Rattus norvegicus: one gene and its partners. The protein of the gene in region 2 binds, or shares a complex with, the protein of the main gene of each other region. Links are inferred from orthologs where the notes say so. Each region holds a gene or a part of one and is shown on either strand. Other genes may lie near its edges. The genes, in order: Mitf, Ep300 and Nutm1.

Evidence for each region.
Region 1: the proteins of Ep300 (region 2) and Mitf are in contact, whole or in part, in an NMR structure (PDB 8E1D), measured with the Homo sapiens proteins. The link is inferred for Rattus norvegicus from reciprocal best matches to the Homo sapiens genes EP300 and MITF. Residues at the interface, in NP_001420.2 of Homo sapiens: Ala1723, Ser1726, Pro1727, Gly1728, Arg1731, Ser1734, Ile1735, Pro1780, Lys1783, Gln1784, Ala1787, Leu1788, Lys1794; in NP_001341533.1 of Homo sapiens: Val226, Ile230, Leu233, Glu234, Ser235, Tyr237, Asn238, Glu239, Glu240, Ile241, Asp246.
Region 3: the proteins of Ep300 (region 2) and Nutm1 are in contact, whole or in part, in an NMR structure (PDB 7XFG), measured with the Homo sapiens proteins. The link is inferred for Rattus norvegicus from reciprocal best matches to the Homo sapiens genes EP300 and NUTM1. Residues at the interface, in NP_001420.2 of Homo sapiens: Arg1731, Ser1734, Ile1735, Arg1737, Ser1757, Lys1760, Met1761, Val1764, Ile1781, Lys1783, Gln1784, Leu1785, Ile1786, Ala1787, Leu1788, Tyr1791, Lys1794; in NP_786883.2 of Homo sapiens: Tyr405, Pro406, Asp407, Pro408, Gly409, Leu410, Leu411, Tyr413, Ile414, Glu416.

What each region holds. Positions count from the first base shown.
Region 1 is NC_086022.1:131,964,376-131,968,608, reverse strand, and holds the start of Mitf (microphthalmia-associated transcription factor), read right to left. Parts: upstream 2,870-4,233; 5' UTR 2,738-2,869; coding exon 2,634-2,737; intron 1-2,633. UniProt on the Homo sapiens protein: Transcription factor that acts as a master regulator of melanocyte survival and differentiation as well as melanosome biogenesis.
Region 2 is NC_086025.1:115,036,347-115,039,937, reverse strand, and holds part of Ep300 (histone acetyltransferase p300), read right to left. Parts: intron 3,536-3,591; coding exon 3,391-3,535; intron 2,165-3,390; coding exon 2,046-2,164; intron 557-2,045; coding exon 317-556; intron 1-316. UniProt on the Homo sapiens protein: Functions as a histone acetyltransferase and regulates transcription via chromatin remodeling. Acetylates all four core histones in nucleosomes. Histone acetylation gives an epigenetic tag for transcriptional activation.
Region 3 is NC_086021.1:119,515,869-119,519,892, forward strand, and holds the start of Nutm1 (NUT family member 1), read right to left. Parts: upstream 2,842-4,024; 5' UTR 2,732-2,841; coding exon 2,716-2,731; intron 349-2,715; coding exon 1-348. UniProt on the Homo sapiens protein: Plays a role in the regulation of proliferation. Regulates TERT expression by modulating SP1 binding to TERT promoter binding sites.

The DNA of each region.
Region 1 (4,233 bases), on a different chromosome or scaffold from region 2:
TGCCAAGCACCATGCCTGCCTTCTTCATGTGGGCTCCTGGAAAAGAACTCAGGTCCTCACAGTCGTGTGGCAAGCACACAAGTTACTGAGTCAGGTCTCAGCCTTAAAAAAGAAAAAAATCAGTTTAATAAGAACGCTGGGCGCTAAATTTAAAAGGTACTAAAACGGGCCAACGTTGAGAGAGCTAAGAGATTGCTGCAATAACTCAGGCAAAAACTGACACTGACTTGGTCAAAGTCAGAGCAGAGAAATAGGCAAGAAATGGGTGAATCCTGAAACAATCTATACCAGTGGTTCTCGACCTTCCTAATGTTGCAACCCTTTAATACAGTTCCTCATGTTCTGGTGACCCCCAACCATAAAATTACTTTTGTTGCTACTTCATAACTGTAATTTTGCTACTGCCTTGAGTCATAAATGTAAATATCTGATTATGCAGGATAGCTGATATTCGACCCCTGTGAAAGGGTCATACAACAGCCCCCACAGGGGTCACGACCCGCAGGTTGAGAATTGCTGATGGAGACAATACAGTGGGATGTCCTTGTTTTGAGAATCTGCAAGTTTTCATTACAACCTTTTTCCAACCAGGACTTTAAGGGTTCCCCAGTAGACTTCAATTGCAAGCAATGAGAAGGCCCTGAACTGCATTTAAAGTCACACAACAAATGTCAATGGTAATATCATTAGGACAACGGTCAAAAACAATATGTCACCCTCTCCAGAAAATTATTCACAGATTTTATTTAATGGGTCGATTTCAAAGAGCATACCTGGCACCTGCTGCTCGTACTAACGTGTGAAGCTGTTTATGCCCACATCCCCACATTTTTCCTTCTGTGCTAGCTAGCTAGCTCCAGAGGACACGTGCTCTTGTGTGCCATTCTTGCTGACTGTGAGAAAGAATAGAACCAAATCCTTCTACGTGAGTGTCAGGGCACTCGTTGGTTTTCCCCAAAGGTACTTTCCTCACTCCCTAAAACTCATTTAATGTAACAGCCACCATCCAAATGATTCGAACAGCACAGTTAATTCATTTCTTTCAGCAACACACACACACACACACACACACACACACACACACACACACACTCCCCCTCATTCTGGCCTTGTAAGCATTTGCTTATAGAAGCAAAAGCAGGGACTGCTCAGTAAAACACTGGTCCCTTCAGCCACATGCAGATAAAGCTCTAGTGAGCATAACCAACAATACGCCTTACACAGTGTCACTCAGAGCACCCAATACACCCCATCTACGGTCACATACAAATAGCCTTTATGAAAAGAAGCCACTAGTGAAAGGCTGAGTTTATGCATCTTGATGCCTAACACATTTCCTTCCACTCTGCCACAAGCATGTACAAAAAGCCTGCTCGAGCAAGAGCAAACTCTTCCCAGAGTTTGTTCCCATTACTGGATTCAAGGTCCTGCCCCAGCCCCGAAGGAAAGGAACCTGGCTCCACTCTCCAGCAGTTAAGACTCAGCTTCCTTCTCTCCCAAAGCAAGGATTCTGCCCCTCACTTCTGCCTCCCTGGCTCCTGAAAGGGAGGCCCTCCGCCCCTTTGCCAGGTAGGAAGTGGAGACCTCACTCATCCAGACCCTAGACAGTCGAGGTGATGATGCTTCCTGGGTTAGCCTTACTTCATCTCACAACCGAAAGGGTAGAAACAAAGTCACAGATTCCAGTGACTACCCCCTCCCTCCATAAACATTACAAATAAAAAGGGCTTCAAGGGTCCAGAGTGACCAAGGAGAGTTATAACCAATTCTGCCAGACAAGTAGCAATGAAGGGTGGTGTGAGGGATAACAATTCTGCAGAGGTACTGACTGTTAGGAGGCACCAGACTAGAGAGCATCTTCACTCCAAGCCCAAAGTTCTTGAAGCACCTGGAGAATTAAATGTGTGTAGCTGCCAAGGAGATCATTCCCAACCACCACAGGCCTCTAAGATAGCTTAATTGCTCCCTCCCTTCCTTTAGCATTTGCAAGGAAGAATGGGGAGACACGCCCACCCGCAACCTCCCCCCCCACCCCCCATCCACCCCACACACACTACCTCCCGCCCAGGGCGCGGGTGCTGTTCTGTGGGAGGTGGAAGGTAAAAGCCAGGTGAACTTCACTTAGAGGTCTCTCTAAGTAGTATGTCCCAGGGGGGCTAGACTACAAGGGAAGGCCAGTTCATTGCTACCCTGAAGCATCAGATCTCCATCCACCCCAGGCTCTCCCTCTCGGAGCCCATCAGCCTGCTTAGGATCTTCAGAAAAATTACTCCTGGTAGCACCAGATCACCGTCCCTGTCCGGTGCTCCTCCTACCCCACCTCGCGCCGGGTACCGCCCCAGCCCCCATCCAGCTCAGCAGCTGGCATCTGCAGTCAAGGGTCCCCAAGCCTGGATGACCCATCCCAAGAGACTCACGGTGTCCCAAGAGTGCCACTGTCAGATAACCTGGGATGCGAGCAAGTCATCTGTGAGCAGGACCCTAAATGCCAGGGGCTAGGTCGCCCTGTACCCCAAGCAAGGGCACGGGGTCCTTGTCCCAGAGCTATCCAGACTGGCTGTTCTCCTCCCAGGGTAGCAGGCGCCGGGCCCTTGGGCCTCCTGCCGCGCCTCCCTCCAGCTGTCACCACTCACCTGCTCTTCAGAGGTTGACTTTTGAGTTCGTAATAGGTTTTGGGTTCTTCGTGAAACTCCTCCCCGACTTCGAAATCCGCCACGATTCCCGATTCAGACTGCATGACTCCTGCTTGCCCGCCTTCCACTGCTTGGGACTTGGACCAGAACCCGGGCACCTGACAAAGATGGGGAGGGCCTCGGGTACCCCAAGACGCGCGCCCCGCTCAGTGCCCCACTCAGCCCGCTAGCCCGCTGCCCGCCCCGGCGCGGTGAGTTTACTCTCACACCAGGGCGGGAGGGGCCGGGCCCGGTGCGCTCTGGGATTTGTGGTTCTGCCCAGGCCCAGCATACCAGCTCTCCAGGATATCAGCTTCCGCAAAACTACAATTCCCAGAAGGCCAAACCGGGGAGAGGCAACGTGGTGTACACCGATAGTGCAAGTCCTGTTTGGATTCCTTGTCAATGTCAGCAGCTCCTCTCCGTGTCTCTCCCGTTTGCCTCAAGGATACAGACCTGGCTGTTTAATATTAATAAGAACGGACTCAGTCTGGGCTTCTACTGTCCCTCCTGGTTTAGACATCTGCGAAGACACTCGGAGCGTTCATTCAAAAAAATAAAACACTAAGGGGTTTTGACGCTAGAAAGTTTCGGTCAGAGTTAAAGCCCATTTTAAAAATAAAAGTGCTTTCTATTCGCCCCCGAGCTCTTCTGGGCTGCAGCGACACATCATTTTGTCCTCAATTGGAACAGAGTGTTGGAAACTTCACTTTTATAATGAAAGCGTTATTGGAGGAGTTGTTCTTGTGCCTTCCTTTTCTGGAACTCCTTCTGGGCTCCCAGAATACTCTTCATCCGTTGAAAGGCTTCTTTCCTTTTATCCAATTAGTCACCTCTAATCTAAAGCAGCACTTGAAAGATTCAGTTAATTTTAAAAGGCACCAAGTAACCAAACAGCTCACCACCGTCTGCTTTCAATTTCTCAGTTGGCTGGGAGTTCAAATGAGATTGTCCTAACATTGCATGCCGGTGCAGCTTCGAGGCACTCGGTTAGGTGATTATTAAATGGCTGCACTTTGGTTCATTTGTATGTCCAGACCTGTCTTCTGGTTAGTTCCAGCAGGACTCTTCATCGTGTATAAACAACAACGAATGCTTTGAGATATCGGTGTTAAGGGTGGCATTTTAAGATGGTAGAAATCCCCAGTTGTTCTAGGAAATCCTGTGCAATCTTAGACATGTCTGTTTCATTCCTAGAAACCTTAATTTCCTCATCTATGAAAGAAGAGATTAGGAAACCTGTTTGAGATGGTGTTGCAAGGTCAAAAGTAAGAAAAAAAATTACTTGCAATTTATATGCACTGGGGGCAGGCAAAATGGTTCAGCCAGTAAAATGTGTTTATTTGCAAACACAACCTGCAATTGATCCTCAGGACACTCGTGACGAAAGTAGGGAACTGTTAACTCCTGAAAGCCAACTTCTAACAGACAAATGCAGGTGCCCACACACATGCACATGCAGCAGACACACATAATACATGCATAGAACTTGTTAAAAGCTATTCAATGACTATTAATCTTGGCTTTCTTTCGGCTATCTTGAAGACATTCTTTGCAAATT
Region 2 (3,591 bases):
ACATTACAGATAGACAATATTGTATGCTAAGGAAAGGGCCTGTTGGGGTTGGTAGCACATTGGTAAAGTGATTCAACAATCTGTTTTGACCTCCAGCCACATGAGAAAAGGAACAGGGATGGGGAGAGTCAAAGTCAGAAGCAGGGTATGTTTAACCCAAGTCACCATTAGATTCTAGGTTAGAAATTAAAGACAGGGGGTTGGGGATTTAGCTCAGTGGTAGAGCGCTTGCCTAGGAAGCGCAAGGCCCTGGGTTCGGTCCCCAGCTCCGAAAAAAAGAAAGAAATTAAAGACAGATCTGAAAGCTGCTTCTTACCTTTCTGCCACAGCAGTAGCCAAGGCTTTGCATGACAGGGTCAATTTCTTGTTCAAATACTTCAGAAAGTTTGGAGCAATATTTGTATACCCTTGAAGTTTTACGGTTATATAACCAAGCATTGTTGAACATAAGCCAAATATCATCTATATATTGCCAGGGCTCTTGATACTGTCCAGTATCTAACTTCCTCTTGATTGTAGAAAGATCCATGGGGCTCTTCACAATATCAAAGTAATCCTAGAAGTATAAGCAACACCACATCACATACTCATGAGCAGGGTATTTAGGGGAAAGGGCGTGTCTTTCTATCAACAGCATTAATTTTCCACACAATGAAATGTGTCCCAGGAGTTGACCAAAGTCTGTCACTTCTTTAAATACTAATCTACCAATGTATTAAGAGGTTTTGAGGATTAAATACTAGAAGGCGGCCTACAAATCCTAAAAAATTAGTGTTGTAAGGAAACAGAAAAACATGGAAAAATATCCTGAATAAACTGTGCCCCTGAAAAGCACTCTAATACCATATCCACAAAATAACACTTATGAAAATCTTTGAATAAAACCTGCAAGCAATCTGGGTGCAATACAATTTCCAAACATTTCAAAACTAACTTTGGGGAAGCAGGCAGATCGATGACCATGAATTTGAAGACAATTTCAGGCCAACTAGGCATACATATATACCCCCAACACAAACCGAGTCTCAAAAAAACAACAACAAAACCAAAAACTTGATTGAAATAGAGGAAGAGTCACTGACCAATGGCTCTGCAGTTAAAACCATTCGCTGCTCTTAGAGTGGTTGCGCTTTCTGCACCTCCATGATAGCTCACAACCATCTTTAACTCCAGTTGTAGGGGGATTCACCACCTTCTTTTAGCCAACGAACCACACACACACACACACACACACACACACACACACACACACACACACACACACACACACACACACACCATACACACGAAATATAAATAAATCTTCAGAAACAAGGAACTCATGTTTTTACCATGATCTATAGCTGTTCAAGTGATAATAAATTGTTGACCCAACAACTGTACCTCTAATATACCAAAGAGATTCATAAATCTGTAACACAAAAACTTACAAACTCCTGTAATATCGGTGCATGAAGTCAAGGCAGGACCTAAAAGTTCAAGGATAACTTGGGGTACAACGTGAGACACACTCTCAACAACTAAACAAATAGCAAAGCAGTACTGGTACACCAACATTAACAGAGGTCAGTCTCAATGGCCCAAAACTGGAAATAGCCAGATACTTGCCAATTAAATACATGCACAAAATGCAGTGGCATCGACATGACTGAGTGTTACGATACACGAAGCACTGGCTGACACGTAACAACTGACACGGGAGAACCGCAAAGTCTGTGCTGCTGACCAGGGTCAGTGCAAAGCCCTCGTTCTACATTGAGTGTGATTCTCAACACCAGAAGAGGAAAAACAAACCACAAGAATCCAGAGGAATTAGGCAGCCTGGGCCTGGGAAAGAGTAAAAGTGCTCCAACTAGTGATTTTAATGGAGGTAGGGTTTATTTGAGGAGGTTATGAAAATGCATTAAACCATGGTGATAGTTGTACAATTTAGTTGAAAATGCTAAAACTTGTACACTGTAAACAGGGTAAGTTCTGTAACATGTATTACGTTAATAGAGCCATTTCTCCACCTAAAAGGAAATTAAAAAATACCAAATACTTACAGGGATTCCTAGAAGCTGCGGGTCCACAGGCTGACGAAAGGGAAGGGATTCTGGGTCCTGTCGGTAAAGTGCCTCCAATGTTGGCATCAGAGCCTGCCGTAATTCTTCTGGTTTGAAAACTTTAAGGAGAGTCCATTGAAATCAATTATTGACTGAGCAAAGGATATTAAAAACATATTCATGTTAAAAGTTCTAAAAGCACCTGAAGTATCCTAGACCACAAAAGTGATAATACTGTTCTCAGAGAAACTAAGGGCTCAATTTCGAATTTTAATTCCCACTCTAATATCACTTCCTCCTGTAAAACAACAGAGCTGCCCCATCCCTCACTTTCCAGCTGCAGGTTGATTGAGAATGGACTTGGCCAAATAAAAACTGAAACCAAAGGCAGTCCCAAAAGCTGTCTGTGGAAAGGGGGATCTACCAAGCAGAGCTAGCAGTGTCCTCTTTGAACTGGTGTGGTTGTACAAGGCAGCACTCTTAATGCCAGGCACAACACTGCAGAAAGATATGTGAGGTAAGGTTGTGGGATATAGAACGATAAGGACACAGCAAGGTCCTGTTATGGAATGCATGCTATGAAGAGTTCAAGAAATAAGAGACCAATAATTTAAAAATTTTGAGTTTTATTTTTATTTATCTGTAAGCATTTGTGTACCTGTACACAAACACATTTGTAGAGGTCAAAGAACAATTTGCAGAAGTCAACACTCTTTCCAGAATGGCTTCCAAGTGTGTATGTCTGTGTCTCTCTGTATTTGTAGACCAAGGGTCAACATTAGAGGAGTGTTTCTGTTCAGGTTAATAACCTTGTTTTTCACATTTAATACTTCATTTTATGTGTTTGTGTGTTTGCGTGAATTTATGTGCTAAATAAAGCCTGAGGAAAAAAAGTGGGTGTTTGGATCCTGGAACTGGAGTTACAGGGAATTATAACCTACCACGTGGTTGCTGGGAATCAAACGAGTAGTTAAGCACTTAACTCTCTCAACCCTCTATTCTCAAACCCCTGCCAAAAAGGAGTCTTAGTAGGGTCTGAACTAACCAGCAGGTTCCAGAAATCCTTCTGTCTCTACTTCCCCAGTAGTCAAATTACAAGTGTACCACAATGCTCAGCTATAAGACAGGGTCTCACTGTCTACCTCAGCTCTACCTGGAATTTGCTATGTAGTAAAAACGGCTAGCCTTGAATTCAGATGTTTCTGCCCCTGCCTCCCAAGCACTGGAATTAAACATGTGTACACATCTGGTGCATCTGCACAATAGGTCGCAAACAAATTCAGATCCTGATGGATTGTGGGAAAGGCATTTCACCAAATGGATGACCTCCTGAGCCTTTACTTACTCTTCTTCTTTGACTGTCCAGGAGCAGGGGAGGACTGTGCAGCAGAGGTGCTCGGCTGGTCCTCCTCCTCTTTCACTTCAGTCTTTAACTCAGGGCCTCTCTCCTCTGTTTCTGTAGGTTCTACTTTACCATCCTCAGCTTTAGCCTGAAAGACAAGGCAGAACTTTCACTATTTCACAGACATACTCCTCGGAATAAGTC
Region 3 (4,024 bases), on a different chromosome or scaffold from region 2:
GAGCACCTGAGTGAATCCAGTTTAGGGCCGTCTGAGTAACTATAAGGTTCTGAGTTTGAGAGGACTCAGCTGGCCCCACATCTGTCTTGACTTTGACAATGACCTGGCCAGTTCCAGCCACACTGGGGCCAGGGCCTCCTTCTCCTGTCACCAACAATGGGCTGGGGAAAGCAGAAAGGAGCAGAGGATTGCCTGGAGAGAAGACAGGCGGTATAGGGGGCTGTGGTGATGGCTCCCAGAGGGATTGGTCTGGTGGAATGGGAGGAGGTGGGGCAAAGGGAAGTGTACTGAAAGGGGACAGGCCAGTACCAGGTTTCATGGCCATATCTGGTCCTGGTAATGGAGAGGCTGTTGAGACAAAGAAGAGAAGGGAGTAGGAAGAAGTTAGGCCATTTGACTTCCTTTAAGTCCCTAGGGGGTTAGAGCAATGACTCAACATGTGAAGGAAGGGACATGGATGGGTATATTTGCAATTGCCTCTCAAGTAGTCCTTTACCCCTGAGCTAGTAGGCTAGAGAAGTTGCTCCCTTTCAAAGAGACACCATCCCTGCCTGTAAGAGCGTCTCTCATAACACTCCCGAAGACCTTCCCTGCCAGTTCCATAGGCAGATCAAGAAGATGAGAAATAGGAAAAGCAGTCTGCAAGCATGCCGAGTGCAGGCGAAATTCCTGGCTCTTGAGAAGCACTCATGAGACCCCCGAGAAGGAGGTGGTTTCACAAACACTGGCCCATCCCTCTCCTCCTTTTCCTGTACCGCTTTCTCCTAATAATCTCCTCAAATAACAGAAGATGCAGTTTATGAACAGGCTCAATGACCCCAGGACTCATGAAGCTCATTTCTCCAAAAACAGTCCCACTCGAAATGCATGGATCTCTACTAACTCTACCTACTCCACAGGACAGGGAAGCCACCTGATCCCAACCGCTCTATGGCTCCTGTCACTAGCCACAGAAGCACAATTTCCAGGACAGAAAAAGGTCAGCCTAGATTCTTGGTTCCCCGAAATGTCACTGTGGAGAGACAGAAGAACCTTGGAGGGAGGGAGATTTCCAGTACTTTCAGTTTCAACCATGGATGAGTTGAAATTTGGCAGCACAGACTTTCTGTGGACCTGCTTCTTAATAGTAAAAGTTTAGGGATCACAAAGAAGCGCTGGGCTGGAGCTAAGGAAGAAAGAAACCTAGCTCCTGCTAGGGACCAGCTATGTGGACACTGGTCAGGCAGAGGGGGATGATAAGCACCCTTCATTAAAAAGGCCTGCCCGTGTCCCGCATGACTTTTAATGATAAAAACAGAGACAAACTGGCCTAATTTCATTCAATACTTCCTCCTTTTTTCTTAAAAAAAAAGAAAAAAAGTATGCCACTGACAAACCAGTACCACTCAGCTTCCACTTACTAACCATAAAGGAGATATGAAATAGAATCGGACTAATACCAGCAAGTTCTGAACACAGTGAAACTATTCCTAAGGTCTGAGCTCCACAATAGGTAGGAAAACCAAGCATCTCACTGTCTGTCGCTGAGATGGCCTATCTCCTCTATCTGAAAAGCAAGAAAGACTACCTCTAAACAAACAAAATAATTAATACAGTTACTTAAAAAAATAAATGCAGGGGGCTGGAGAGATGGCTCAGAGGTTAAGAGCACTGACTGCTCTTCCAGAGTTCCTGAGTTCAGTTCCCAGCAACCACATGGTGGCTCACAACCATCTGTAATGGGCATCCAATGCCTTCTTCTGGTGTGTCTGAAGACAGCGACAGTGTAGCCGCATACATGAAATTAAAAAATAAATCTTAAAAAAAAAACTTTCCTCTAAAAAAAATGCAGGTCTATAAATACAACCACTCTGGATGACGATCACAAGTTCAAAGTCAGCCTAGGTTACAGAGGGAGTCCAAAGGCAGACTGAGAAACTTAGCGAGACCTTGCCTCAAACTAAAAAGTAAAATGGATGCTGCAGATTTGGCTCACAGAATGCTGAGACAGAGAGAACACACGTGCTCAGAAACGGAAGTCTATGGAAGACCCTCTCCAGAACACTAATTAGATGGAAACTTAACCTAGACTTCCCAACTTCCAGACAGATGCATAATAAATTACAATGAAAGAAAAAACAAAGAGAAAAAAAGCCTGGTGCTTGAACTGACAAGTAGCACCCTTGGGGCTAGGAGGAGTCATCACGCTCTGGGAACAAAAACTTTTACAAAATTTCTAGCCCTGTTCACGGGCTCATAAATGAATAACCCCACTGAGTTTTAGCTTTCTGAGAAAGGCTAATTAATCGGCCTGGCCCAATCCCACTGCTCCACCCTTCCTGGAGTGATCAAGAGAGTTGGCCCTGCCTTCTTCCCATGGTGAAGTCCTAGAGCAGGTCAAAAGACACGGATTATGGCTCTTCCCTTGAAACCATGGCAACACCACTTATACTAAAACATAAACCTCTGTTTCCACCCCAAGCATGTTAAAGCGGTCCCTCTTCCTGGGAATCAAACTGGTAATTGGTTCCCAGTCCCAATATTCAGTGTGTACTTCTGACAGATTTTGGTTCATTTCCAAGGATGCTCTACCCCATTCTTGATGGTAAAGATCTATTTCTCTGGGCTCCCTAATGCCTGTGTGGGGTTTAATTCCTCAAATCCCTATAGGTTGACCTATGACTTGTCCCTAGGTGACACCGCAGATACCCCGCACTCCAGCACCCCTCGTCTTACATCCATCTGATGCCATAACCCAGGGTTTAGGTACACCAACAGTGGCGGTCTGGATGGCTCCAGGATGAAACAGTTGGGTCCAGGATCCAGGCAATGACCTAGCTCCAACAGATGATATCCAAGGAAGGTAAGCTAAAGACTGGGTCAAAACAGAATTAGAATCTTGGACTCAGGCATTCTGTAGTGGGGGAGGGGAAAGGATATTATGTAGTGAAAATGGGGAGATTTTACTCGATGGGTTTTAGTAAGTAAGCAAAAATTAGAAAATCCCTCAGTGAATTTGATAGCATGATTGCTGGGTGTCCTCTTTTAGGACAGTTTGTCCATCGTCTCTCAGATTCCCAGCATTACACTGCAGTTTTCACTGTTGGCTTCTTACTCTTCTATTCTTCAACGATACAATCTAATCCCGAGCCCTGCCCTTTCTCCAGTTCTGAAACTGGATTACCATTAATAACTGAATGGTGTGGACCTTCGGCTTGCTTCGCTGATGACTCTATTTTCTGAGCCAAATTCAGAGTGCACAGTTTGTATACTTGAAGATTAAAAACTATAAACTAAATGCTTGACATTGAAGTATCTCAGATGATCCAGAATGTTCAACTGCTGTGGGGTGAGCGCCACCTTCCTGAGAAGCCGACAGACACTTGTAATCCTAGGACTTGGGAAGTAAGAGTTTGAGAAAAGTCTGGGCTACAAAGTGGGACTCTCTGAAAAAAAAAATCTCTCTGTAATACCCAAACAGTCCAGCCACAAGAGTTCTGAAATCCATTGGAGCCACGGCCTTTTTTCCACTTGCTGAAAAAACTTACTACATTAAAAAAGATTTTAATTAATTGATTATTTTTGAGACAGGATCTCACTCTTCAGCCCTAGCTGGCTAGGAACTCAACAAAGATCTGGCCACCTCGACCTCCTCAGAACTGGTATTAAAGACCTTCACCTTTAAAAAAGAAAAATAAATAATCTTTAATAGTTTCTAAAGGGTTTATGTAGTTTTGTTTTATGTGTATGAATGTTTGCCTGAATTTATGACTGTGCAGCTGGGTTAATGCCTGGAACCTGCAGAAGCCAGAAGAGGGAGTCAGAGCTTCTAGAACTGGAGTTGGAACCAGTTAGGAGTTGCCATGTGGGTGCTGGCACCTAAAATGGGTCCTCTGCAAGAGAGTCAAGCATCCTTAAGCACTGAGCCACTTCTTCAATTCCTTTTGGATTTTTGAGACAGTCTGGCTATATAGCCTAGGCTGAAAGCTAAGACTCTCTGACCTTAGTCTCTTGCACAACCCCTGCCTTAAGATTACCATAAAGT